Linked DNA regions of Anolis sagrei. The protein of the gene in region 4 purifies or fractionates together with the protein of the main gene of each other region. This does not show direct contact. Links are inferred from orthologs where the notes say so. Each region holds a gene or a part of one and is shown on either strand. Other genes may lie near its edges.

Region 1 (7,653 bases), on a different chromosome or scaffold from region 4:
TCAGACATCTCACCCAAATGCAGAGCAAGTAACCCCCTTTTCCCCACCCATTATTATGATTATTATTATTCACTTAATTTTTCTCCCAATATATCTATTTTTCTATTAATGTTTTCACTTGGTTTTCAAAAATATACACAACATTTGAGACCACTCCCTTCATACCACTTCTCCTGTAAGCACAACATTGAAAATAAAAAATTACATAAATGACTATAAAAACACGTACTTAAACTCTATATATACTAGAAATGTGTCATTTATTGTTATTGTATTTAAATAACATTTATTAACTTATTATTTAGGAAATTTCCAGATTGTCTTTCTCCAACGGACTCAAGGCGGTTTGCAATAGCATCAAAACATACAATATAAAATATTTTCTATTTATTTGTATAAAACTTTGGAACTCCCTCCCCACTGAGATTAAAACTGCCCCTTCATACCTACATACTTGTCACTTATAGGTCATATATTTAAATATGGTGCATTTAAATAGAATATTTTAATATCATATATATATAATTTCATATAGCCAGACATAGCCACAACTGTCCTCTTTATTGATTCCTATGAAACAGAAGACTAACACTCACCTGGCCACAAAGCTGGCTGTCTTGTCCACAATGTTCCTGACCTCTGGCGGAGGGTAGATGATGCCCACCACCGGCTTGGCGGGCACTGCCTCCTCTTTTGGCTCATCTTCTGGCTGCAATGAGAATTAACATAACAAAATGGTGGGACAGAACTGAATCATCATAATCATCAACAACATAATAACTTCTAGCCATCCATGAAATTCATGGCAGGGGGTGGGTGAGTGGGCACATGCATTTTCCTCAATCCCAGGCCAAGACTCTTTTTAAGGATTTGTCTCTAAGCCTGTGTATCTTCTTCTGTTATTCTAAACACATTTAACTGCGGGTGAAGCAGCCTCCAGTTCCAGCAATGTGAAGAATTAATAACAGCAAGATTAATCACAATGATAACAAACAGCCAAGGACATGGCCCTCCAGTGGACAAGAACCTGCATTTCCTGAACTAGATAATAATAATGACAATAATAAGTTATATCAATACCATCCACATTGTGAACATCAACAATGCTATAACAGGCAGCCGCCAAGTTACACACAAAACAGTTCCGTATGTTTGTTCTGAAGCTGAATTTGTTTGTAAGTCAGAACACACACATTTTTAACTCCAGCCAAAAATATATACAGTGGAATCTCTACTTAAGAGTGCCCCAACTTAGGAGTATTTAGGAGCATTTAGAATTAAGAATTGTTGCTCGGCCCTGGTTTTGCTTTGACACACAAGCAATGTTTCCAGTTAAGAACAAGTGCCAGGGCTTCAAGAGAGCAGCCTTCATGCCTTGTGCTCATGTCCACTTTGAGGAATTTGTGGTTAGTTGGTTTTGTGTGGTTTTTATTCCTGGTTTGTTTGGCTTCATGGAGAGAGGGAGGGGGGCTGGAATGAGGGAAGTAGGAAGAAGAAAAGGAGGCTTCTGGCTCTTCGCTTGGTGCTTCCTTGCCACATCTTTGTACTTCTGCCATTTAAACGCTGATCTTTCTTTCTGATTGTTCCATGTGAATGTTTTGCCTTGCTGTTACACTGGTTGACACACGTTGTTGCTGCCAGTGTACTTCTGGAGAAGTTACTGTAATGCGCTCTACGTGGAGCTGCCCTTGAAAATGGCTCGGAAATTCCAACTGGTTCAACGGGCGGCGGCCAGGATGTTAACTGGCGCTCCTTACAGAGAGAGATCAACCCTCCTGTTTAAGGAGCTCTATTGGGCTGCCGTTTACCTAGCAAACCCAATTCAAGGTGCAGGTGCTTACCTACAAAGCCCTAAACGGTTTGGGACCTGCCTACCTGCGTGACCGCATCTCCGTGTATGAACCCACGTGATCCCTTTGTTCATCCGGAGAGGCCCTGCTTACGATCCCACCTGTGTCACAGGCGTGTTTGCTGGAGACGAGGGACAGGGCCTTCTCTGTGGTTGCCCCCAACTCTGGAACACCCTCCCCAAAGATATTAGACTAGCACCCATGTTGGCAGTCTTCAGGAAGAATCTGAAGACCTGGCTATTCCGATGTGCCTTTCTGGAATAGGATAATCTCCAGCACTATGTCCCAGAAGCACTTTATTCGAGTTTAAGGCTCTCTGTGCATTGCACTTGCCCGGAAATCCAACATACCACCTGCCACACCCAGCACTTTTTAACCTGTACCCATCACTGGCCTGGCCCTGGTTTTTTATTCTGTAATTGATGTATTGTCTTGTTATTGCTTATGTTTTAATTTACTCTAAATGGTATTGTTATTGTTTTGTTCTTGTTGTGTTGAGGCCTTGGCCTTTGTAAGCCGCATCGAGTCCTGCGGGAGATGCTAGCGGGGTACAAATAAAGTTTAATAATAACTTAATAATAATAATTTTGGGGGATTTGACCTGGATATTTTGGAGTTGTAGTTCACCTTTATCCAGAGAGCACTGCACCCAGCCGAGTACGGATCTGGACCAGGCTCGGCATACAGATCCAACGTGGCCAACTTTGTACACTGGTGGACTCTGGAGTGATTAACCTTGAAATCTGGGAGTTGTAGTTCACCCATATTCAGAGATCTCTTTGAACCCCACCGAACATCCAAAGACAAACAATGCCCCTTTCAAGCTAGTATAATATATAATACAGGTGTGTATATGATCCCACGGGGGCCCTCAAGTCCCTCGCGCAAAGCGCCCTGGGAAAAGCCCCCCTCGCCCCGCAATGCATCATGGGAATGGCGGCTCTGCCTTGAGGTGGGTTAAAGGGGGAAAAGAGTCGTTTTCTTCCCGAGCAAGAAATACCTGTTTGGCCTCGGGCGGCGTGGCTTGGGCCGGAGCCATCACCTGGACGGGCCCCGCCGGCATGACTCTCACTTCGCTCCGGAGTACAACCGCGGAGAAGAAAGACGCCAACAGCTGCGATAGGACCGAGAAAAATGGCGACGGGTGCGCGCGCAGCCAGTAACAGCCCCGCCCACAAGAGGAGGGGGCTGTGCGGGGATAGCCACGCCCCTTTAAACGTCCTCCTCCTGGAAACCCGTAGTCACGCCCCCTTTAAGCGCATGCGCTCCCCTTCCCCTTGCAATCCCAGCTGCACGGGGAAGTCACGCCCCTTTCAACGCCCCCTCCTCCTGGTAACCATAGCCACGCCCCCTTTAGGTACATGCACTCCCCTTTCCGGAAGTTTTTATCAATTGTATGTTATGCTCTCTATAATAAAAGGGGCGGAGCGAGGGAAGCGTTCTTCGTTGCCATGGCAGCAGCCGAGGCCTAGAACGCGAGAAGAAGCCTGCTAGCAGTAAGAGGCGGGCATTCCGTAGGTAACTACACACAGTTAACGGCGTGCCGTTTTCTAAATGAGCCATTCAGCCAATTAAGGATGAAACATGAATACGAAGCATTTCTTGAATATATTATTTCTATACATAGTCCTAGAGTTGTGTTTTCCCAATCTTGGGCTCCAGGCTTTTTGGACTTCTTCCCTCAGAAGGCCTCTTCATTGGACAAAGCAGCTGGGTCTGAGTCCAGAATACCCACTGTTATTATTCTATTGGACAAAACAGGAATGTTAACATGATGATGATGATTAATTATATCTCTATTATATATTTTATAATGTAATGTGTTATTATATATTTTATTGATTTATATCCCTCTATATCTCTCCATATGGAGATTCAAAAACATAAAACTTAAAATATACAAAAATACAATAAATCAGTGTATCTTATAATTATATATTATCAGTAGCAATTATAGTTAATATATTAGTATTACTATATTACAATATTCCTATTATATATTATAGTATTGTATTATTGTGTTGTTTGAAGGCTTTTGTGGCTGGAATCACTGGGTTGCTGTAAGTTTTCCGAGCTGTCTGGCCATGTGCCAGAAGCATTCTCTCCTGACATTTTGCCCACATCTATGGCAGGCATGCTCAGAGGTTGTCAGGGTTTATATATATACCTGTGGAATTATGTCCGGGGTGAGAGAAATAACTCTTGTCTGTCAGCACGTGTGAATGTCGCCATTGGCCAGCTTGATTAGCATTGAATGGCTTTGCAGCTTCAAAGCCTGGCTGTTTCCTGCCTGAGGGAATTCTTTGTTGGGAGGTGTTAGCTGGCCCCGATGAAGAAACACAATCTACAAACAATCTACAGACCCACTAAGAAAATCCAACAAATGCTAGGTTCAGCAAAGAACAAGAAGGATCCTCTCACCTCTGCCAGAGTCTACCGTATACCAATCAGCTGTGGACAAGTCTACATAGGGGTCACCAAATACAGCATTGCCCAGACACGAATCAAGGAAGATGAAAGGTACTGCAAACTAATCCAACTAGAGAAGTCAGCCATAGCAGAGCACCTGATGAACCAATCTGGACACAGCATATTATTTGAGAACACAGCAATGCTGGGCCACTCAGACAACCACCATGACAGATTACATAGAGAAGCCATTGAAATCTGCAAGCACGTGGACAATTTCAAAAGAAAGGAGGAAACTATGAAAATGAACAAAATCTGGCTACCAGTATTAAAAAAACTCTAAAATCATAACAACAAATAAAGAACAACCGTCAGAAAATTAGGGAATTCCAAACAGGAATCAATCAGGGCCAGCTAACACCTCCCAAAAAAGGATTCCCCAAGCAGGAAGCAGCCAGGCTTTGAAGCTCCAAGGCTATTCAATGCTAATCAAGCTGGCCAATGGCAACATTTACACTTACCTCAAACAGACAAAAGTTCTTTCTCCCACCCTGGACATTATTCCACAGGTATATCTATAAACCCCACTTGCCTAGTTTCCAACAGACCTCACAACCTCTAATTATACCTGCCATTGATGTGGGTGTAAAACGTCAGGAGATAATGCTTCTGGAACATGGCCAGACAGCCCAGAAAGCTCACAGCAACCCAGTGATTCCGACCATTAAACTCTTCGACAACATGATGACTAGCTGCTTTGGGACTCAATTGAGAGAGAAGATTGGTGTATAAGATTGGTTACTTCTTGCAGCAACACCACAGGCACTCCAGGTGGCCAGATACTGGTCAAAGGACATTTAATCAGCTGCCAAGTTTGCAAAATTTGTGGGGTTTTTTTTTATCTGTTTGTTTGTTTTGTTCTGTTAGGAATGTAATACAATGTTCTGGTAGCGGATGACATGATAAAATATAAATATAAATATAAATATAATTATTATTATTGTGTTTGCTTTGAGTCAATCCAAAGATTAGAAGAGAGAAATTAAGGTATTAGTTAATAACAACAACAACAATAATGGTGGTCACTTTAGTGCCTTGATCAAAAGAGAAATATAGGATAATAATAATAATAATAATAATAATAATTCATTTTGAAGCTTTTCTTTTGCTCCAGGAACATCAATGCCTCATTGTTTGTGATGGTGGCCTTCCTGGTCAATTGAAAGAACATGGAGAGCCTGCAGAGGGACATCGTTGAGCTTCAGGGAACAGTCATTGATGTCTTCTCCCGATCCAGACCCATCCGGTGTCCTTCGTGGAAGTTTCCGGATAAGGCCTCCTGCGACTTGGACCTGGTTTCCTTGCTGGAGCGTTACGGCTTTGCGGAGAACAATCCTGAACTCACCCAGCGCTCCCATGTCCTCCTTTTGGAGCTCATCATTGACAGGTGAGGAACAGTCCGAAGGATAGAACTCACCTGGAAGCCAAGGAGGATAACTAGGATTTGTTTTCTGCTCCCTTGAGGCTGCTGCTGCTCTTCCAAAGCTTCACGGAATATGCGGAGAACCTGATCAGCGAAGGAGCTCCTTCCTCCCCATCCGGAGCAATGGGGCCTTCCATGTCTGTTGGATTGGCGGTGAGGACATACTGGGACAGCATGGTGAAACTGGGGAATCTCTACCAGCAGCTGGTGATGGAGGTAGGGACATGCTTTGCATACAGACCTCAGAAGCCAATTATACCTCTTCTCCCTCTTCATCTTTTCCTTCTCTTCCTCCCTTTCCTTTTCTCTCTCCCTTTCCTCCTCCTGCTTTTCCCCCTCCATCTCCTCTTCCCTCTCCTTCTTCACTTCCTTTTCTGTCTACTCCTCTTCTCCACCTAGTCCTCCTTCTACTCCTTTTCCTTCTTCTTTTTCCTCTATCTCCTCTTCCCTCTCTTCCTTTTCCATCTACTCCTTCTCCACCTTGTCCTCCTTCTCCTTCTTCTTCTTTTTCCTCCTCCTCTTCCCTCTCCTCCTTCTCTTCCTTTTTTGTCTCCTTCTCCTTTTCTTTCTACTCCTCCTCCTCCACCACCTTGTCCTCCTTCTCCTTCTTCTTCTTTTTCCTCCTCCTCTTCCCTCTCCTCCTTCTCTTCCTTTTTTGTCTCCTTCTCCTGTTCTTTCTACTCCTCCTCCTCCACCATCTTGTCCTCCTTCTACTTACTTTCGTTCTTTTCCCTTCTCCTTTCCCTTCGTTTGCTTCTCCTTTTCTTCTTGTCCTCCTCCTCTCTTCAATCTCCTCCTCCTCCTTCTTTTATTTCTCTCCCCCCTCCTCTCCTTCTCTTCCTCCTACTTATTTATATCTTGCTTTTATCTCTTAACCAAGAAAAAAGGCAACAAAGAGGATGTTTCTAGCAGAGAACAAGCAGAGAGCAAACGGACCAGAAGCTCTTGCTCCCAACAATCGGAGTCAGATGTTACCATACTGGGCATGCAGGATTCTTCATTGACCTCGTCAATTGCCAGTGGGCAAATGTATGGACACTTCCCCAACTGTATCCCTTCTCTAACTACTGAGCCGCCCGTAGTGCCTTGTGAAGCCTGCGAGAAGGCCCAGACCAGCCTCCAGGAAGTGGGCCGTGCCATTGTCGGCCTCTGCGAAGGCCAAAACCTCCCATCATCTCTGGGCAAGTTCCTCAAGACCGCAGAGGAGACCCTTGGGGGCAGAGCCCTGTCCGTTGTGGACATTGACTATTGGGCCGCCGAGCAGAGCAAGGACATTTCCCGGATTGGCAAGCACCTCCGGACACTGACAGAGTTGGTGGGCCCTTTGAAGGGAGAGCTGGAAGCTGCCCAGAAGCAGGTGGAGGACTTGGAGGTCCGCCTTCAGGAGGAGAAGGAAGCCCAAGAGCAACAGAGGAAGGAGGCTGAGCAGTCATTCGAGAAGAAGCACAAGGAGAGCTTACGACGAGTGGGACGGTTGGAGAAGGAAAAGGAAGATCTCCAGAACAGTGAGTAGACACCAAGGATTGTGTGATCACCATCCTTGGGTCCTATCTCCAAGAGAATAATGATAATAAACTTTATTTCTATACTGCCCTATCTCCCTGAGGGGACTCAGGGCTGTTTACAACAGAAAATTGGCAAACTTTCAATACTGATGTAACAGATCAAATCATAAGCAATAAAATAAACAACATCAGGTGTACTTATAGAACAACTCAAAATAACAAACTTAGAAAGATATATCCCATATCTCCTGCTCTTCATCTTAGGTCTCATCTCCAAGATATATCCCATATGTATATTGTTTTTAAATGCTTATTTGTTTTACTGATTGCTTATTTTGTTTTATATCTGTGTCTTTGATCATTGTTGATTTTGTGTTGTATTTTTAACATGTTGGAAGCCGTTTTG
Region 2 (7,167 bases), on a different chromosome or scaffold from region 4:
TACAATATTATAAATATTATATGTATATATATATTATATTATTAGAATAGCACAGGAGACAAGGAGATTCCATCTCACCTCAAAAAAGGTCAGTGCATTTATTTATTTATTTATGACATTTATAAGCCGCCTTTCTTACCCCAAAGGGGACTCAGAGCGGCTTACAAGGTATATATTACATACATTATATTACATTATTAGCATAGTACAATATAAGCATTAAACACTGCTATATTGTACCATATCAATATATCGTAATATTATTAGTAATATTACTTGTAATATAAATATATAATTATAATATCATATTGTTATTATTATTATTATATTACATTATATATTATATAATTATTATATATTACATTGTACTATAACATTATACTGTAATATTATTAGTAACATATTGTATTACATTATATTATCAATTGTGTAACTCTTTCTTATTCCCAAGCACAATGGTGGGCAAATTAAGAATTATAATAAGGTCTAAGGCATCAATTTTTTGGCCATAACAAATAAGGACTTACTTGAAGCGTGTATGTCTTCAGCCGATCCAGCAACTCCTCACGACTCCCTAGAAGAAAACAAAGAAGTCATCTGGCTCATCTAAACTGAGGATCAATGGCTTCCTCCCAGGAGTGTGCATTCCTGCATGGCAGGTGCTGGACCCAGGGACTGCACTACCCCCATACCATACTATCAGCATGGCAAGGCCTAAATCAAGAAATAGCTTCCTAAGATCTAAAGAGATATTTGCAGGAACACCTCAGCAAGTTGCACATCGCAAGTGCTGAACTTGACTCAGCACATCGAAGATGGCTTTGAAAGGCAGCAGATCAAAGGAGCTGTCTTCATAGACCTGTCAGCAGCTTATGATACTGTGAACCACCACTGACTCCTCCTGAGAAAAATGTATAATATCACAAAGGATGACCACCTCTCCCGCCTCATAGGAAACCTGCTACAAAACAGGAGCTTCTTTGTTGAGTTCCAGGGCCAGAGAAGCAGATGGTGGAAACAGAAGAACGGCCTGCCTCAGGGGAGCGTGCTTGCTCCATCCATGTTCAACATCTACACAAATGATCAGCCACTGCCAGAAGGGACAGAGAGCTTCATCTATGCTGATGATCATGCCATTACTGCTTAAGCAGGGAGCTTTGGGATGGTAGAACAGAAGCTTTCCGAAGCTCTAGGTGCCCTTACTGCCTATTACAGGGAAAACCAGCTGATCCCCAACCCATCCAAAACATAGACATGTGCCTTTCATCTCAAGAACAGAGAAGCATCCCGAGCTCTGAAGATCACCTGGGAAGGAATCCCACTGGAGCATTGCAGCGCACCCAAATACCTGGGAGTCACTCTGGACCGTGCTCTGACCTACAAGAAGCACTGCCTGAACATCAAGCAAAAAGTGGGTGCTAGAAACAACATCATACGAAAGCTGACTGGCACGACCTGGGGATCACAACCAGATACAGTGAAGACATCTGCCCTTACGCTGTGCTGCTCTGCTGCTGACTATGCATGCCCAGTGTGGAACACATCTCACCATACTAAAACAGTGGATGTGGCTCTTAATGAGACATGCTGCATTATCACGGGGTGTCTGCGCCCTACACCACTGGAGAAATTACACTGCTTAGCTGGTATTGCACCACCTGAAGTAGCAGCCAATAGTGAAAAGACCAAGGCAGTGACATCTCCAGCTCATCCCTTGTTTGGGTATCAGCCAACACTTCAACGTCTTAAATCAAGAAATAGTTTTCTTAGATCTACAGAGACACTCGCTGGAACACCTCAGCAAGCGAGAGTCCAAAAGTGGCAGGCTCAAACCAATGGCTGATACCAAATGAGAGACTCCCCCCCGGGCACACAGAAGACTGGGCGTCTTGGAAGGCGCTGAACAGTCTGCGCTCTGGCACCACCAGATGCAGAGCCAACCTCAAGAAATGGGGCCACAAAGTGGAATCCTCGACATGCGAGTGTGGAGAGGAGCAAACCACTGACCACCTGCTGCAATGCAATGTGAGCCCTGCCACATGCACAATGGAGGACCTTCTTGCAGCAACACCAGAGGCACTCCAAGGGGCCAGATACTGCTCAAAGGACATTTAATCAACTACCAAACCCGCAAATTTTGTATTTCGTCTGTTTGCCCTGACACGACAAATAAATAAATTATTAGTCTTATATTGCATTACATTATAATATTATAAATATGACATGTATATACATTATATTATATTAATACATTATCTTATATAATAGATTCAGTTTGCCAATACCTTATTCAAAATGCTGAGATAAGAAGTATTTTGTATATTTTTACGATTTTGGTCTACCTGTTGCAGCATATATATGCGTAATAAAATATACTGGAAATGGGGCTGAAGTCTAAACATGCGTATAAGTTGTTAAGTTATACATATAGCCGAGATGCTTGTCTGTTCTTAAGTTGAAAAGCACATCTGCCTTTTAGATAGATTAGGAATCAGCTGGTTTTCCCTATAATAAGCAGTGAGAGCACTGAAAGCTTCAGAGAGCTTCTGATTAACTATTTCAAAGCTCCCTGCTTGAGCGGTGATGGCATGATCGTCCGCATAGATGAAACTCTCTGTCCCTTTTGGCAGTGGCTGGTGGAGACTCCTTTCGGTTCCCAGACTGATCCGGCCCAGCTGGGCCGAGATAAGGAGTTGTATAGCCTTGAAGATAATGGTGAATTAATGGACTGGTTGCCCTGACACGACAACTAAATCAACCAAAGCCCCTGCTGCTAGGCCTCATTCAAGGCCTACACCCCCCACCGCCCGCTCTCCAGTCCCCGAGGCCCAACCGAAAGCCCTCCCTCTCACCCTGCGTCGGCGCCCCGATCTCAGCCAGCTTGGCCTGCAGCTCGTTGGGCGACCAAGCCGCGTAGCCTGGCAACGGGAGCTCCCCGGCCTTGGGAGGCTCAGAGTGCACCTCCGACGCCATCTTGCTTTTCCTTCCCCGCTTGAGACCGCGCGGCCACCGTAGAATGACGCGATGCGCTCCTCTGAACCAATCAGGAGCCACAACGTCAAAACCCGCGTAGCCAATGACGGAGCGGGAGGAGTTTGTAAACCGTGGGGAGGGAAACTCAACTCTGCGCATGCGCAGTAGAGACTAATAGGTAAACAGAAGTTGAGGGAAGCTGCCTTAGGGTGTGTTGGTCTTTGGGATTTTGGGATAGGATTGCAATGGAATAACAAAGTCGAATTGGGGTTGGGAGAAAAAGAAGGGCAGGGAAAGATCAAGGATTGGGGCCTAGGAGTAGGTCTAGGCCTATACCAGGCCTGGGCCAAGTTGGGCCCTCCAAGTGTTTTGGACTTCAACTCCCATCATTCCTAACAGCCTCAGACCTCATCCTTTTCCCCCTCAGCTGCTTGAACAGGAGGACAAAGCACCCCTGACAGATGGCCATCCAACCTCTGCTTAAAAGCTTCCAAAGAAGGAGCCGCCACCACACTCCGGGGCAGAGAGTTCCACTGCTGAACGGCGCTCACAGTCAGGAAGTTCTTCCTCATGTTGGAAGAGACCTCATGGGCCATCCAGTCCAACCCCATTCTGCCAAGAAGCAGGAATATTGCATTCAAATCACCCCTGACAGATGGCCATCCAGCCTCTGTTTCAAAGCTTCCAAAGAAGGAGCCACCACACTCCGGGGCAGAGAGTTCCACTGCTGAACGGCGCTCACAGTCAGGAAGTTCTTCCTCATGTTGGAAGAGACCTCATGGGCCATCCAGTCCAACCCCATTCTGCCAAGAAGCAGGAATATTGCATTCAAATCACCCCTGACAGATAGCCATCCAGCCTCTGTTTAAAAGCTTCCAAAGAAGGAGCCTCCACCACACTCCGGGGCAGAGAGTTCCACTGCTGAACGGCGCTCACAGTCAGGAAGTTCTTCCTCATGTTGGAAGAGACCTCATGGGCCATCCAGTCCAACCCCCTGCCAAGAAGCAGGAATATTGCATTCAAATCACCCCTGACAGATGGCCATCCAGCCTCTGTTTAAAAGCTTCCAAAGAAGGAGCCTCCACCACACTCCGGGGCAGAGAGTTCCACTGTTGAACGGCTCTCACAGGAAGTTCTTCCTAATGTTCAGATGGAATCTCCTTTCTTGTAGTTTGAAGCCATTGTTCCTCGTCCTAGTCTCCAAGGAAGCAGAAAACAAGTTTGCTCCCTCCTCCCTATGACTTCCTCTCACATATCTATATATCGCTATCATGTCTCCTTTCTGCCTTCTCTTGTTCAGCCTAAACATGCCCAGCCTTCAAGCCGCTCCTCATAGGGCTTGTTCTCCAGACCCCTGATCATTTGAGTCACCCTCTGGACACATTCCAGCTTGTCAACATCTCTCTTCAATTGTGGTGCCCAGAATTGGACACAATATTCCAGGTGTGGTCTAAGCAAGGCAGAATAGAGCATGAGGAACATGACTTCCCTGGTTCTAAACACTATACTATTGATGCAGGTCAAAATCCTATTGGCTTTTTTATTTATTATTTTTTATTTATTAACTTTATTTGTACCCCGCTACCATCTCCCCAAGGGACTCGGTGCGACTTACATGAGGCCGAGCCCAAACACAACAATACAAGCAATAAAACAACAATAAAGCAATTTAAAAACATAGACAATAAAATAAACAACATTATCAATAAAACAACACACAATTAAAAACAGAGGGGAAGCCAAATGTAAAGTTAAAATTGGAAATATGCTGGGACATGAACGGAAGGTGATACTGGTGTTTATGAAAGGGCATACGAGCAGACTTAGAAAATGTAAAGTGCTTTGGAGGACAAAGTGCTATGGGATCATTATTCCGGGAAGGCACACTGGAACAGTCACGTCTTCAAGTTCCTCCTGAAGATTGCCAAAGTTGGAGCCTGTCTGATGTCTTTAAGGAGTGAGTTCCAGAGTCGAGGAACCACCACTGAAAAGGCCCTCTGTGGAGGGGTGGCTGCCAAGGTAGCGGAAATGGTCCACATTTTCTAATGTTACACCATTAAGCTGTATCTCTGGCATTGGAGAGGGATTGCCTGGTGACTGCTGGAAAAGCACTTTGATTTTCTCGATGTTCAATGACAGGCCGAGCTTCTTGTATCGCACACAACAGGCCCGTAGCCAGGATTTTGATTGGGGGGGGGGCTGAGTTTGATTGGGGGGGGGGGGTCTGAGTGAAAGAGGGTCTACCCTAGCAAACCTTTTGTATCGTTACCCCAATACCCCCATGCATATGAGATATATTGGCAGGGGCGGCTCGTCCATTACGCGAAGTAAGCGGTCGCAGAACACTTTTTTTTGCCAGGGGCGCAGAGGCACCTCTGTAAGTGCCCCTCGACTGCCACTTGAGGAGCGCCCCTTCAGCTCACAACAGCCCTAGCAGTCTGGGGGAGCCTTGGCTTTCTTGCCTCACTGCTGGGCGATCCTCTTCCCAAAGGGGCTGGGCCCTTGAGCCTCGCCTATCCCTCTTGTTCCTGCTCCACCCGGCCACTCGGTGCGCGAACAGAACCGGCGCTCAGTCATTCTCCGCGTTTGATCCCTTCCCCATGACCGGCCCTCTTTCCCGATCCCCCGGCGCTCCACCCGCTTCCTCTCCTCTTCCCAATCCGTGGGTGGGCCAAGGGGCGGAGCCGCTGCACCTGGCCCGCTTCAGGTCCGGAGGCGTGTCTGAAGACCCCAGCGTGCATTGGGACCAAGAGAGAGAGAGAGAGAGAGAGCGAGCCCCTCCGGCTGGAGGTATCTCCCACCTCCGCTCCCTCCTTTGTTTTTGCATCTTTAGGAAAGGTGGGCATCTCCACCTCTCTCTCTCTCTCTCTCTCTCTCGGTTCCAATGGCTGAGGAGAAAGTCAGGAGAAGAGGTGACTTTTGGTGCACACGCCGGAGTCTTCAGGCACACCTCCGGACCCAAAGCGGGCCAGGCAAGGGAGCAAGTGTGGCAAGTGTAGTTACTGGGATGTATAGTTCACCTACAATCAAAGAGCATTCTGAACTCCACCAATGATGGAATTGAACCAAATATGACACACAGAACTCCCACGACAAATAGAAAATATATATCAATGATTGGTTGGCGGGGGGGGGGGGGGGGTGCCAAAATACTGTTTGCTTACTGTTGAAAATTACCCAGGACATTAAGATCGTCTGGGGAGGCCCTGCTCTCGGTCCCGCCTGCATCGCAGGTGCGGTTGGCGGGGACGAGAGACAGGGCCTTCTCGGTGGTGGCCCCTCGGCTATGGAACGCCCTACCTGTGGACATCAGACAGGCCCCTTCACTTCTGGCATTCCGGAGGAAAGTCAAGACTTGGCTTTACGAACAAGCGTTTGGCTAAAAAATGCAATGAAATACAGTAATACGGTTCAATTGATCACAGGAATTGGTATAAAGGATTATGATTACGGATTCTGATTCTGATTTGTTTGCTGAGGCATATATCTAGGATTATGATTGTTTTTGACCTGATGTTTTGTATAATGTGTTTTAACTGCCTTCTTGTTGTTGTTGTGTTGACCTTTACTATGTAAACCGCCTTGAGTCGCCATTTCGGCTGAGAAAGGCGGTATAGAAGTAAAGCAAATAAAATAAATAATAAAAAAATAATAGGGCCGCCTCTGTATATTGAGCATGGTGATCAGATCATGATATGAATAAACATAACAGTTTAAATAATGTACCAGTAAGGCCTTTTCGCAGACCATCATGAGAATTTCGGGGGGGGGGGGCTGAAGCCCCCAAAGGCCCCCCCCCCCCCGGCTACATGCCTGGCACACAAGCTGTAACCCTATGCCCTCTTCGGCCTTGCGACTGACCAGGAGGACCTCTGTCTTGTCTGGATTCGATTTCAATTTGTTCACCCTCATCCAGACCATCGCAGCTGCCAAGCACCAGTTCAAGACCATAGTAGCAGGTGGAAAAGAGTTATAGAGCTGAACATCACCTGCATGCATTCAAAACCCATTTGTAGTGGCCCCGACAGAGCTAAACCCAGCTGACAAACTGTGTTGGGAAAACGTACCTTATTTAATTAAAAAATAAATAACATTCTACATAACAATATGAAAGCAACGAATTAAATGTTGTGCAGCAGTGTTTGGGAGGAAGGAGAGAAGCAGCAGTCAAGCCTGATGAAAATGTCTTTCCGT
Region 3 (7,428 bases), on a different chromosome or scaffold from region 4:
CAAATTTATTATTATTTACTATTATATATTCAGACACACATATATATACACACAGCCATTACACCAAATCTGTGTGGCTTTGTCAGGGAGTGTGGCACAATAGATGCAATATATGCTGTCCGGTTACTCATGGAAAATCATTGGGAAAAGAAATTGAATCCAGACAAGACAGAGGTTCTCCTGGTCAGTCGCAAGGCCAAACAGGGCATAGGGTTTCAGCCTGTGTTGGATGGGGTTACACTCCCACTGAAGACGCAGGTTCGCAGCTTGGAGTGATCCTGGATTCATCGCTGAGCCTGGAACCTCAGGTTTCGGCAGTGATCAGGTGAACATTTTCACAGTTAAAACTTGTGCGCCAGCTGCGCCCATATCTTGGGAAGTCTGACTTGGCCACAGTAGTCCACGCTCTGGTTACATCCCGTATAGACTACTGCAACGCTCTCTACGTGGGGTTGCCTTTGAAAAAGGTCCGAAAGCTTCAACTAGTCCAACGAACAGCAGCCAGGTTGCTAAAAGGAGCGGCGCTCAGGGAGCATACAACCCCCTTGTTGCGCCAGCTCCACTGGCTGCCGGTTTGCTACCGGGCCCAATTCAAAGTGCTGGCTTTGGCCTATAAAGCCCTTAATGGTTCTGGCCCAACTTACCTGTCTGAACGTGTCTCTCTTTACGAACCATCAAGGACTTTAAGATCATCTGGGGAGGCCCTGCTCTCGGTCCTGCCTTTGTCTCAAGTATGTTTGGCGGGGACGAGAGACAGGGCCTTTTTAGCGGTGGCCCCTCGGCTATGGAATGCCCTCCCTAGGGAGATTAGATCTGCTCCCTCCCTCTTAACGTTTCGGAGGCAAGTTAAAACATGGCTGTTCGAGCACGCATTTATAAATGCAGAGTAGCTAATACAGGAAATTGAACGATTTGACAATGGAACTGGACAATGCTTGATAATAATGAGACGCTAATGATGTTGTTTTTATTACTTTTGTGGTGTTTTATATTCTTTAATGTTTTAATCTGTATTATGTTTTTATATGTTTGGGAGTCCTCTTGGATTCATCGCTTACGCTTGAGGCTTAGGCGTCGGCGGTGTCCGGGAGGGCTTTTGCACAATTGAGACTTGTGCGCCAACTGCGACCGTACCTCGCAAAGGCTGATCTGGCCGGGGTGGTCCATGCCTTGGCCACCTCTAGATTGGACTACTGTAATGCGCTCTACGTGGGGCTGCCCTTGAAAACGGCTCGGAAATTCCAACTGGTCCAACGGGCAGCGGCCAGGATGTTAACTGGTGCTGCTTACAGAGAGAGGTCAACCCTCCTGTTCAAGGAGCTCCACTGGCTGCTGTTTATTTTCCGAGCCCAATTTAAGGTGCAGGTGCTTACCTACAAAGCCCTAAACAGTTTGGGACCATCCTACCTGCCTGACCGCATCTCCGTTTATGAACCCACGAGCTCACTTCGTTCATCCGGAGAGGCCCTGCTCGTGATTCCGCCTGCGTTGCAGGCGCGTTTGGTGGGGACGCAAGACAGGGCCTTTTCTGTGGTGGCCCCCCAACTCTGGAACACCCTCCCCAAAGATCTTAGACAGGCCCCTACATTGGCAGTCTTTAGGAAGAACTTGAAGACCTGGCTGTTCCGATGTGCCTTCCCAGATTAGGAATCTCCAATACCAAGTCCCAGAAGCACTTTATTAGAATTAAGATTGTTGCATACTGCACACTGCACTTACCCTATAATCCTTACATATCACCTGTCACATCAGCACTTTTAATTCTGTACCCATTACTCTGGCCCGGCCCAGTTTTATTGTGTCTTGGTGTATTGTTTATTGCTTGTTGTTAATATTGCTTTAATTGTTTTTAATTTGCTTAGGTTTTGTATTGTTATGTTGTATTTTGAGGCCTTGGCCTTTGTAAGGGGCATCGAGTCCTTCGCGAGATGCTAGCGGGGTACAAATAAAGTTAATAATAAAATAATTGTTAGGTTTTACTATGTATTGAGTCATGCACTGCTAATGGGTTAATGGGCTTCTGTTGGGAATGCTGAGAATGTATTGATTGTATGTGGGGAATCATTTGGGAAATGTGTTTTTGCCTACTCAGAGTGATTGTCTATGACACAATCCTGGGTTTGGGTTGGGTCAATTAGTTGGTAAGCAATCAAGGAGTAAATGTATTGTAAATGTATTGTATATAAGGAAACCATGTACAATGTATATTCCCCTTCCTTTGATGTTGTGCTGTTATTCGTCAAAGACTATAAAAGAACCTGTCTACTTGGACAAGATAGTGCGTACTGTGGTGAGTCTGTGAGTATGTAATATCATCTAAACTGGGGGAAAGACAATGGTAAAAACTGGATAATGGCCTGGCATGTGCTCAAGTATCTACTGTGGAAGCAGAAGACTGAAAAATCTTCTGAGCAGGAGGAAAGCTGCTGGAACGCGCTGAGGCTGTGCAAGTGTGAAGTTAACTCTGGCCATAACAATAATAATAATAATGTACTGATTTGTTGGAAACCACTGAACTTTGTATTCCTTGATCTCGAAAAAGCATTTGATCGGATTTCCCATGAACTGATTTGGCGAGCACTACAATTAGGCGGCTGAGGGGGAAAAGGAAAAGGCCTGAGGCTGTTAGGAATTATGGGAGTTGAAGTCCAAAACACCCGGGAGGAAGGCCCAAGTTTGCCCATGCCTGGCATAAACCCTCAAGAGGCCAATACATGCAATTAAACCAGGCAAAGATATAGAGCAACATTGGTTGAAGCCAAAGGTTTGGAACCCTTCCCTAGACCCTCAGGACGCCATTGCTTACCCCGCTTCGGCCCCGCTTCAATCTCCTCTCCTCTCTGGGAGAGAGAAAGAGCACGGGAAAAAGCCAAACGCGCCGCTCAAGGATCCACTTCCGGCCAAAACGTCTCAGGCTCGCGCGCCGGAAGTGATGTCGAGAAGAGGCCGGGAGCGGAAGTGGGACTATTGCAGCGCCTCTTACCGCGAGAGGGGGGCGTCGGCCATGCGGTTCAACGAGCGGGAGTTGCTCTCGCTCTCGCGGCAGCCGGCGGAGAAAGCCGCCGAGGTGCTCATGCGGGCGCCCAAGAAGGGAAGCCGTGAGTGAGGAGAGAGAATAAGGAGGGGGGAGGGGAACAGAGACCAAGCGGCGGCGTCACGACGCACAGGGAGGGACCAGCCTCGTGACGTCACGGTCCAAACCACGCCCCTCAGGGAAACAGCCCATTCGAGTCGCGAGGGCGGTGTCGCGTGACGTCACGCCGCAGGCCACGCCTCTCAAGTAGTACTACCTTTTGGGAGGCTTTTCCCTTTCCTATTCTGGACTAGAAACTTGAGTGGCCTTTAAATCCTCAGAAATATTACAGATTTCATGTAGGATTGGGAATATTTGCCTAGGCAGCATTGAGTGGCTTGTGTTTATGTTATTTGAGTATTTTTTATTTATATGTTGCCAATTATATATATTATTAATAGTATTTCTGTTTTTATATCTCGCTTTTCTCTCTCTCAAAGCAGCCAACAATGTTTCAAAAAATATAATAAAATAAATGGAAGTCTACATTTTAAAGCCAAAACATGTAAACATTAAAACCAGAGGGTTGTTGTAGGTTTTTTCGGGCTGTACGGCCATGGTCTAGAGGCATTCTCTCCTGACGTTTCGCCTGCATCTATGGCAAGCATCCTCAGAGGTAGTGAGGTCTGTTGGAACTAGGAAAAAGGGTTTCTATATCTGTGGAATGACCAGGGCGGGACAAAGGACTCTTATCTGCTGGAGCTAGGTGTGAATGTTTCAACTGACCACCTTGATTAGCATATAATGGCCTGACTGTACCTGGAGCAAACTTTTGTTGAGAGGTAATTATATGTCCCTGCCTGCTTCCTCTCTGTTGTTGTGCTGTTGCAATTTTAGAGTTTTTTAATACTGGTAGCCAGATTTTGTGCATTTTCATAGTTTCCTCCTTTCTGTTGAAATTGTCCACATGCTTGTGTATTTCAATGGCTTTTCTGTGTAGTCTGACATGGTGGTTGTGACAGTGGTCCAGTATTTCTGTGTTCTCAAATAAAATGCTGTGTCCAGGTTGGTTCATCAGGTGCTCTGCTATGGCTGATTTCTCTGGTTGAAGTAGTCTGCAGTGCCTTCCATGTTCCTTGATTTGTGTCTGGGCGTTGCGTTTGGTGGTCCCTATGTAGACTTGTCCACAGCTGCATGGTATACAGTAGACTCCTGCAGAAGTGAGAGAATCCCTTCTGTCCTTTGCTGAACGTAGCATTTGTTGGATTTTCTTGGTGGGTCTGTAGATTGTTTGTATGTTGTGTTTCCTCATCAGCTTCCCTATGCGGTCAGTGGTTCCCTTGATGTATGGCAAGAACACTTTTCCTCTGGGTGGATCTTCATCTTTACTCTTGTGGCTTGTTCTTGGTCTTGCAGCTCTTCTGATGTCTGAGGTGGAGTCTCCATTGGCCTGTAGAGCCCAGTTGAGGTGGTTCAGTTCATCTTGAAGGAGGTGGGGTTCGCAGATTCTTTTTTGCACGGTCTGCCAAGGCTTTAATGGTGCTTCTTTTTTTACTTGGGTGATGGTTGGAGTTTTTATGTAGATATCTATCTGTGTGTGTGACAAGCCTTCGACAATACATTAAAACCAGAATTAAACATTGGAGTATTATAATTAAACAGAAGATCATTCAAACCGATTATCTTGATGCATCACAGTCTGGTTTTAGGCCTGGTCACTGTATGGAGACGACTTTGGTCGCCTTGGTGGATGACCTCCTCAGGGAGCTAGACGGGGGAGTGTGTCCCTGCTGGTTCTCTTGGATATCTCAGCAGCTTTCGATACCATTGACCATGGTCTCACTCTGGGTCGGCTCTCTGGAATGGGTCCTGGGGGTATTGCTTTGCAGTGGCTCCACTCCTTCATGGAGAATCGCATCCAGAAGGTGATGCTGGGGGATCCCTGCTCGGATCCCTGTCTATTGACTGTGGGGTCCCGCAAGGTCCCATTCTATCTCCCATGCTTTTCAACATCTGCATGAAAGGGAGAGACACTGCTTTGCAGTAGCTCCACTCCTTCCTGGAGGATTGCACCCAGATGGTGATGTTGTGGGACCCCTGCTCGGCAGCATTGAGTGGCCTGGGTTTATTTTATTTGAGTATTTTTATTTATACATTATTATTACCAATAATATATATTAATAATATTTCTAGTTTTATATCTCGCTTTTCTCTCTCTCAGAGCAGCCAACAATGTTTCAAAAAGTATAATAAAATAAATAGAAGTCTACATTTTAAAGCCAAAAACAAGTAAACATTTAAACCAGAATTAAACATGGGGAGTATTAAAATTAAACAGAACTCATTCAACTCGATTATCTTGATCCATCACAGTCTGGTTTTAGGCCTGGTCACTGTATAGAGACGGCTTTGGTCGCCTTGGTGGGTGACGTCCGCAGAGAGCTAGACAGGGGGAGTGTTTGTTTCCCTGCTGGTTCTCTTGGATGTCTCAGCAGCTTTCGATACCATCAACCATGGTCTTGCTCTGAGTCGGCTCTCTGGAATGGGTCTTGGGGCGTATTGCTTCGCAGTGGCTCCACTCCTTCCTGGAGGATCGCACCCAGATGGTGATGCTGGGGGACCCCTGTTCGGATCCCTGGACATTGACCTGTGGGGTCTCGCAAGGTTGCATTCTATCTCACATGCTTTTCAACATCTACATGAAAGGGAGAGGTCATCCAGAGTTTTGGCGTTTGGTGCCATCTGTACGCAAATTAAGCACAATTCTACTCCTTTCCATTTAAATCCAAGGAAGCCCCTCAGATCTTGGACCAGTGTCTGGCAGCTGTGATGGTCTGGATAAGGGCCAACAAACTGAGGCTTAATCCAGATAAGACAGGGGTCCTCCTGGTCAGTCATGATGCTGATAGAGGTATAAAATGGCAGCCCATGCTCAACGGGGTTACACTCCCCCTGAGGGCACAGGTCTGCAGTCTGGAGGTCCTCTTGGACTCAGCGCTGACACTTGAAGCTCAGGTGTCGGCGATGGCCAGGAGGACTTTCACACAGTTAAAACTTGTGCGCCAGCTGCAACCATACCTCGAGAAGCCGGATTTGGCCACGGTGATCCATGGCTTAATTACTTCAATATTGGATTATTGCAATGCACACTACGTAGGGCTGTACCAGTTGCTCAGAAACTGCAGCTGGTATAAAGGTCGACAGCCAGGCTTCTAACTGGAGCTAATTATAGGGAGCACACAGTGCCCCTATTAAAGCAGCTCCACTGGCGGCTGATAGGTTTCTAGTTGCAATTCAAGTGCAGATTATGACCTACAATGCCTTAAGCAGTTAGTGTCTTTCCTATCTTCGTGACCGTATCCCCCCTAAGAACTGGTATGATCTCTAAGATCTGCTGTGCAGGCTCTCCTCTCGCTTCCACCACCGTCACAAGCACGCTGGTAGAGATGAGGGAGGGCATTCTTGGTTGTGCCCCCCTGACCCTTCCCAGGGAGATTAGGCAAGCCCCCAAACTGTCCCCTTTTTGTAGGGATCTGAAAGCCTGGATGTTCCAGCGAGCATTCAAGAATGACTAGTCCTTAGTGATGTAGGCCCAGCCCCTAGGTTGCTAGACAGTTCTACATCTATCCACTTCCTATGTATACTATTTGCACTATTCCTTGCCCAGCCCCTTTTTATCTTTTTCATGCCCATTTTAGTTAGCTTGCTCATTAGTTTTTGTTGAGCCTGATCTGACGGGCTTTGATGCAATGTTTTATGCTTTTTAATATTTTTAATGTGTGTTTTATTTGGGTTGTTGTATTTTACAATGCTTTTAATGTATGTAGTTTTATAGATTGTTTTTGCTTTTATGTCTTGTGGACATTCTGTCCCATGCGTAAGCCACCCCGAGTCCCTTCAAGGAGATGGTAGCGGGATATAAAAATAAAGTTATTATAATTATATTATTATTGATTTAATATTTCAATTTGGATGTCTCTCTTTTTGTAGCCCTGAAGAAGCGCCTGGTGAAACTGGTGGTCAACTTCCTCTTTTATTTTCGTACGGACGAAGCCGAGGTAAAATCAGTGGGGATGATGATGATGATAATAGGGTTGCTGTGAGTTTTCTGAGATATATAAACCCCATTTGCTTAGTTTCCAACAAACCTCACAATCTCCGAGGATGCCTGCCACAGATGTGGCGAAACATGAGAGAATGCTTCTGAAACACGGCCATACAGCCAGGAAAACCCAGTGATTCGAGCTATGAAACCCTTCAACAGCACAATAATAATAATAAATTCTATGCCTTTTGAATATCTTTATGTTTTATCTGTTCTGCTTTACTTGTGTGGTGTAAGCCAACTTTGGGAGAGGCAGGTATAGTAGTAGTAGTAGTAATAATAATAATAATAATAATAATAATAATAATAA
Region 4 (7,078 bases):
AGTAAATTGAGGTATACACCCAAGCCATAATTTGTCTTTAAAAACTTAATATCCAGACATAATCCAAAGTTTCAGGACTGTATTAGTTACTAGTGACAGGCCTGACAAGTCTCATTTTGGGAGAAAAGTAAAGTACAGATAAAATAAATAGAAACAAAGGTTTGCTTTTTTATCCCCTCCCCTGGAAAATGTTCAAGCCATGGATAGTTGAGTCTATGGATACTGAGGGAATTAATTTTACATGATCTATGCTGTAGAATTAATTCCGCTTGACACCACTTTAGTTTTAGTTCACTGAGGCACCAGCACTCTTTGGGAGAGGAGAAAGCCCTTGTACAACTACAATTCTTGGGATTCCATAGTATTGAGCCATGGTAATCAAAGTAGTATCAAGTTGTGTTAATTATACAATGTAGATGCACTGTAAAAAGCTCTTGACATACCAGGATACGATATGGCTATTAGCTTGTTAACCACACTAGAACCATGCACACAATCCCTCAACATTATTAACACAGGGAAGAGATATCTAACTGTTCCTGCATAATATTTAGATCACATCCTTACATAGAGGTTGCACTTCTCACATGGTCTTCAAAAACATTTTTTCACAATATGATGTTATGCTATACAGTAGTAGTAGTAATAATAATAATATTTTATTTGTATTCTGCTTTTCTCACTGAATGAGACCCAAAATGGCTCACAGCACTTTAAAAACAGTACAAATAACAAACACATAAAATAAAACAATCTATGACATAAATATTCTAAAATTGTTTTACAATTACTATTATTGTGTGGGACAACACTTTGTACTTTGCCCAGAAATCAACTGGAGTGATTTTAATATAGCTGTGATAAGATCACACCTAGATGTCCCTGTAACCTATCTGACTGCCATATTTTGAACTAATTGGGGTTTCCAAAGTTGATACTGAGGTAGCCTAATGCACAGTGCATTATAGAAGTCCAACTTCAAGTTACCAGTCTGTGCACTACCATAGTTTTTGTTCCATTTTTAGGAAGGGTAGCAACTTGCATATCAATCAAAAATAATAAACACTCCTGATTGTTGCATCGATCTGGGCTGACATTTGGAGACAGTACGTTGAAAAACAGCAATGAAAGTGGTATTCCAATGATAGTCTTGAAAGCTGTGTCAATGTCTCACTTTACAACAGGGGTCCTCAAACTTTTTAAACAGAGGCCAGGTCACAGTCCTTCAAACTGTTGGGAGGGCTGGATTATAATTTGAAAATTTTTTAAATGAATTCCTATGCACACTGCACATATCTTATTTGTAGTGCAAAAAAAGCCACTTAAAAACAATACAATAATTAAAATGAAGAACAATTTTAACAAATATAAAATTATTAGTATTTCAATGTGGAGTGTGGGAAGTGCAATGACTGGTAATTTGACCATAGGAATGGAACATCGGAAAATGATACTGGATTGTGGGTTTGACGATGAGACGACACGGAATGGCTTTTGTAGTAATGTTGATGTTTTTGATGAGGATGTTTTTGATAATGAAGAATTGTGGATTATTTTACATTATGTCTTGTATTTTGCACTTGTTTTTCTATGTTGTACACTGCAGTGAGTCGCCCCTGGGCTAAGAATTGCGGTATATAAGCGAAGTAAATAAATAAATAAATAATACTTTTGGGTGCTGAGATGTATTTATCTGTTTGTTTGTTTAACATATTTATATACCATCCCTCTCAGCCCGAAGGCGACTCGAGGTGGTTTACAGTTGGCAGTCAATGCCCCCAAATAACATAAAACACAGCTAAAAACATTACATATAATATAAACCATATAAAGGCAATAAAACAATAAAAAACATACAACACAAGTCATCAGTGTCTCATCACTAAAATCATTTTTTCCGTTCTTGTTGTTGTGTGCTTTCAAGTCGTTTCAGACTTAGGTTGACCCTGAGCAAGGGCCAGGTAAATGATCTTGGAGGGCTGCATCTGGCCCCCGGGCCTTAGTTTGAGACCCCTGCTTTACAACCTCAGACCTATTCTAAGGCCCCTTCTACATTGTAATATCCAGATTACCTGCTTTGAACTGGATTGTATGGCAGTGTAGACTCATATAATCCAGTTCAAAGCAGATAATGTGGATTATCTGCTTTGATATTCTGGGTTATATGGCTGTGTGGAAGGGGCCCCACATTATCAGTTTTGAACTGGATAATATGGCAGTAGAGAACTCTCTTCAAATCAGATAAAGGGTATAACTATCTTTCATAATCTGGATTATATGGCAGTGTAGAAGAGGGATAAACTGTTCCTTGGGAAATAAGAGACCGTAGCTGGTTAATATTAATAAACAACGTTCACAACAATGATTTGGGGTGGAAAGAAAGTAAGATGGTTTCAGGCTATGCCATGCAATCTTTTGACTCAAGAGTGATAAAAACCATGTAAGAGAATAATAATAATAACGATATGTTAGAAATCACAAAAAGATATTGTTTTTGTCTGCTAAGATGGTCTAGCGGCAACAACAACAACACAGTTTGACAAAATGTCGGCCTGTAACTCTCACGTCCTCCTTTTTTTCCCGCCCTCTTCCTGTATGATTGTAACACTGGTGATGCCCGATAAAGGCAGTACATCCTACGGAAAGGAAGAATCAGGATTGGGATATATATATATATATCTCAGGAGGGAAAGAAAAAATTAAGAATGCAAGAAAGGAGGCGCGCAAGGGCCTGCAGGCCAAGGAGAAGCAGCTGAGGCGCCTCTCACAAAGGAAGGCCGAGAGCGAGGGAGGGAGGGAACTGCGAGGAAGGAGGGGGATTTTCAGGCCCGGACCGGACGACCTTGGCGGCACAACAGGCCGGTGGAAACCCGGCCAGGCCGCCCCCCGCTTTCGCTCACCTTGGCCTCAGGCGCGGAGGAGGGCCTCTCGACGCCGGAAAGCTGCCTGGCCTGCCTGCCTGCGCACGGCACGCTACGTTACGTTACGTAGGAGCGCTTCCCTTTCCTGAAGGGCGCCTTAGCGACGACGCACGTAAACCCCGCCCCTCTCCCCCCGTCGCCGGAAATGAGCGTTCTCGCGAGAGGTGGCCGAAGGGAGGCGGGATGAGAGAGAGAGAGAGAGAGAGATCCGCGCTGTCACGTGGTGTGTGTTTGTATACAAGAGCGCGCGTGCTTCCCTTGCTTCCGCTTCTGAACCATAAAAGTTCCCCCTTCTTTCTTTTATCCTTCCCCTTCCTTCCTTCTTTCCCTGTTTTCTGCCCCCCCTTCCCCTTGGAACCCCCGGTGGCGTTAAACCGCTGAGCTGATGAATTCGCAGGTTCGAATTCGGGGAGCAGCATAAGCCCCAGCTTCTGCCCACCTAGCAGTTCGAAAACATGCAAATATGAGTAGATCAATAGGTATTGCTCCGGCGGGAAGGTAACTGCACACTATACAATCATGGTGGCCACACGATCTTGGAGGAGTCTATGGACAGTGCCGGCTCTTCGGCTTAGAAATGGAGATGAGCACCAACCCCCAGAGTTGGACACGACTAGACTAAAAGTCAGGGGAAAACCTTGGAAATAGTATGATAGCTGAGTCCGGAAGCTCCGAGCGTTTAGGTTAGAGTACGGGTTAGGGTAAGGTTTAGGTGCCATATCGTTCTTTAGGAGCGCTGCTTATGCCAGAGGAACTTAGCTAATGTAAGCCAGGCCGGAGATAGATAATATAGAAGGGGAATGTAAGAGTTCTTTAATAGAGAAACCCTAACCCTTACTTTAACCCTGAACTGTACCCTAAGCCTAACCCCTTACCCTAACCCGTACACTAACCTAAACTTTACTCTAACCCAAACCCTAAACCTTACCCTAACCCGTACTCTAACCTAAACCCTAATCCTTATACTGACCCAAACCCTAAACCTTACCCTAACCCATACTGTAGCCTAAACCCTAAACCTTACCCTGATCCGTATGCTAACCCAAACCCTAAACCATACTCTAACCCAAACCCTAAACCTTACCTTAACCCGTACTCTAGCCTAAACCCTAAACCTTACCTTAACCCGTACTCTAGCCTAAACCCTAAACCTTACCCTAACCCGTACTCTAACCCAAACCCCAAACCTTGCCCTAACCCGTACTCTAACCCTAACCCATATGCTAACCCAAACCCTAAACCTTACCCTAACCCATACTCTAACCAAACCCTAAACCTTACCCTAACCCGTATGCTAACCCAAACCTTGCCCTAACCCATACTCTAACCCTAACCTGTATGCTAACCCAAACCCTAAACCTTACCCTAACCTGTATGCTAACCCAAACCCTAACCCATACTCTAACCCAAACCCTAAACCTTACCCTAACCTGTACTCTAACCTAAACCCTAAACGTTACCCAGTTTGAGGGACCATTAAAAATTGGGAGGGGGGTTGAATTTTTTTTAGTGAATCACAAAGAATAGTTCCATAACATAAAATGATTTAAATAGTATAGTTCATTCTATAGTACATTTTATATAGATTTAATTAAATCAATTTTCTATTTTAGTTACAAAGTTTCGAGTCTTAAAATAACGGAAAATGACTGTTAATTGGTAGTGTATAGTTACAAAAGAATACTACGTCTGCTGGAAACATTTGAAAAGTGTGTCAATACACTTTGACAGAAATCAGGCTCCATTGATAGACTTTGGTGGACACTCAAGAGTGCAAGTCCAATCAATCTTTCTTGCCCCATTTGCTGCTTATGTATGTTTTCAAACATTTAAGAGTTGAAAACAATCTATACATAGGCATAGCAATGGGAATCGTAGTATCTGGAAAGTGGGGAGGGGGGGAGCAAGGGGAAAAAGGTCTATTAGGAACCTGCCTCCTACCTCAAGCTGTGGCAAAGAGCACAGCAGGGGGACAGAGCAGCCTTAAATAGCCTGCAGCTCCTCCCCTGTCAACCACCCTCACCAGGTCTGGTCTCCTTCAAGAGGGCCTTCAAATCCTGCCCCCCCCCCCCCGGCCAATGCCTTAGGCTTTGCTTGCCATTTATGGGTGTCCCAACTTGGTTGTTTCCACTATATTGGCTATTGCTGCAAGTAATGGCATGTGAGTAAACTCAAAATTTGCTTGAAATAGTACTTGCAGTTCTGGAGGGGCTCGTTTATTTGCTTCCCATAGACTTAGCATGGGAATTTGGTTAACCAATTAAAATTCATATGTAAAAACCAGGGTGGTTTTTTAACCTGAAAAATTATCATCGGGATAAAGTAAGATTTTAGATTGTGACTTGTTGCTCTACTATGCAACCATGATATTGTACATATTGTACCTGTTGAAATTTAATACAAAAGCTTAAAATCTCCATCCAATGGAACTCCAAGAGTTTATAGTTTCGTAATGAGTAGTAGGAATTAAGCTCTGGTGCATAATCCTGAGATAAATAAGAAAATATGAAGTAATCATCAAAGTGCATGTCACAGGATTCTTTAAGCCATGATAGTTAAAAAGATATAATGTGGATATGATGAGTGATTTCAGCTATCCACTAAAGATTGGTGTTTGGAATTTGGCACACTTCACTACTCCGAAGGTCAGATTAAAACAAACTAGGCAACAAGAAGTTTGTTCTTTTGGAGGTCAGAATAGAGTCTGCACTCAAAGAACTGACCTATCCCAATCCAAAATATAGAACATTTGTACACTTTTGACAACTATTCATAACACCCACAGTCCAGTGATTGGTCCTCCTGGTGGCCGGAAATTTAAGGAGCTGTCATTCATTGGTTTGAAGTGTGGGTCCTTTTAAAGGTCCGCCCCCAAGGGATATGTAGACCTTCAGAATGAGGTGTGAAAATATGGAAAAATTGTTAATATATCGGGTTAATTCCTCAGTCCAGTTTATAAACAGTGTCCTGTGAACACAATGGTCAGTTATGTTGATGTAACGGCTCAATGGAAGATATACACTGGCAATCTGTGTGCCCATCCCCAGGAGCAGATAACTCTGAATCCTATCAATAAGTTGGAAAAACCCTACATGATGGTTTTAGCTTCACAATGAATGGGAAACCAGACATAAACAGACATATTATTTAACAGGTACACAAACAGACATATTATTTAACAGGTGTTAATTTCATCCAGGACTTATGCACTGGATCAAATAAGCACACATCTCCCTACACATCATCAGTGAACACAGTTATATTTTTATCTATGAACATATTACCATGTAAGAATTATGAATGAAGTTGTATAGAGTTTATGAATCAATCTCAAGAGAGTACACAGACAGATTTAGTAGTGAAGAAAATCCCTTTTAAATGGCTCTTAAACATTCAGGGAAAATACCAGTCTGGGGGTTGGGAATCATAGAAGCATTTCCCATGGAGCCTTTCCTTGAGGCGATCCACTTATTCACAGGGCAATATGTTAATGTCTCTGAGATGTGCAAGTCAGCCTTCCATGACCTTCTGGCAAGGAAACTAGTCCAATGTGGGCTAGGTAAAACTACAGTGAGGTGGATCTGTAATTGGTTAAATGGACGAACCCAGAGGGTACTCACCAATGCTTCCTCTTCATCCTGGAAAGAAGTGACGAGCGGAGTTCTGCAGGGTTCCGTCCTGGGCCCGGTCCTGTTCAACATCTTTATTAATGACTTAGATGAAGGGCTAGAAGGCAGGATCATCAAGTTTGCAGACAACACCAAATTGGGAGGGATAGCCAATACTCCAGAGGACAGGAGCAGGATTCAAACCGATCTTGACAGATTAGAGAGATGGGCCAAAACTAACAAAATGAAGTTCAACAGTGACAAATGCAAGATACTCCACTTTGGCAGGAAAAACGAAATGCAAAGATACAGAATGGGGGACAATGCCTGGCTCGAGAGCAGTACGTGTGAAAAAGATCTTGGAGTCCTCGTGGACAACAAGTTAAACATGAGCCAACAATGTGATGTGGCGGCAAAAAAAGCCAATGGGATTTTGGCCTGCATCAATAGGAGCATAGTGTCTAGATCTAGGGAAGTAATGCTACCCCTCTATTCTGTTTTGGTTAGACCACATCTGGAATATTGTGTCCAGTTCTGGGCACCACAATT

Evidence for each region.
Region 1: the proteins of SMNDC1 (region 4) and SF3A1 purify together in Homo sapiens (affinity purification with mass spectrometry; 3 studies listed by BioGRID and IntAct, with this or other methods). This does not show direct contact. The link is inferred for Anolis sagrei from reciprocal best matches to the Homo sapiens genes SMNDC1 and SF3A1.
Region 2: the proteins of SMNDC1 (region 4) and SF3B2 purify together in Homo sapiens (affinity purification with mass spectrometry; 3 studies listed by BioGRID and IntAct, with this or other methods). This does not show direct contact. The link is inferred for Anolis sagrei from reciprocal best matches to the Homo sapiens genes SMNDC1 and SF3B2.
Region 3: the proteins of SMNDC1 (region 4) and SF3A2 purify together in Homo sapiens (affinity purification with mass spectrometry; 4 studies listed by BioGRID and IntAct, with this or other methods). This does not show direct contact. The link is inferred for Anolis sagrei from reciprocal best matches to the Homo sapiens genes SMNDC1 and SF3A2.

The regions. Positions count from the first base shown.
Region 1 is NC_090034.1:48,544,905-48,552,557, reverse strand, and holds the start of SF3A1 (splicing factor 3A subunit 1), read right to left. Parts: upstream 3,014-7,653; 5' UTR 2,914-3,013; coding exon 2,851-2,913; intron 710-2,850; coding exon 597-709; intron 1-596. Other genes in the region: CCDC157 (coiled-coil domain-containing protein 157), read left to right, coding at 5,489-5,706, 5,784-5,958, 6,623-7,247. UniProt on the Homo sapiens protein: Component of the 17S U2 SnRNP complex of the spliceosome, a large ribonucleoprotein complex that removes introns from transcribed pre-mRNAs.
Region 2 is NC_090032.1:17,942,171-17,949,337, reverse strand, and holds the start of SF3B2 (splicing factor 3B subunit 2), read right to left. Parts: upstream 3,013-7,167; 5' UTR 2,974-3,012; coding exon 2,853-2,973; intron 575-2,852; coding exon 528-574; intron 1-527. UniProt on the Homo sapiens protein: Component of the 17S U2 SnRNP complex of the spliceosome, a large ribonucleoprotein complex that removes introns from transcribed pre-mRNAs.
Region 3 is NC_090034.1:51,589,702-51,597,129, reverse strand, and holds the start of SF3A2 (splicing factor 3A subunit 2), read right to left. Parts: upstream 2,933-7,428; 5' UTR 2,807-2,932; intron 1-2,806. Other genes in the region: PLEKHJ1 (pleckstrin homology domain-containing family J member 1), read left to right, coding at 2,933-3,098, 7,004-7,071. UniProt on the Homo sapiens protein: Component of the 17S U2 SnRNP complex of the spliceosome, a large ribonucleoprotein complex that removes introns from transcribed pre-mRNAs.
Region 4 is NC_090023.1:209,886,365-209,893,442, reverse strand, and holds the start of SMNDC1 (survival of motor neuron-related-splicing factor 30), read right to left. Parts: upstream 3,010-7,078; 5' UTR 2,901-3,009; intron 1-2,900. UniProt on the Homo sapiens protein: Involved in spliceosome assembly.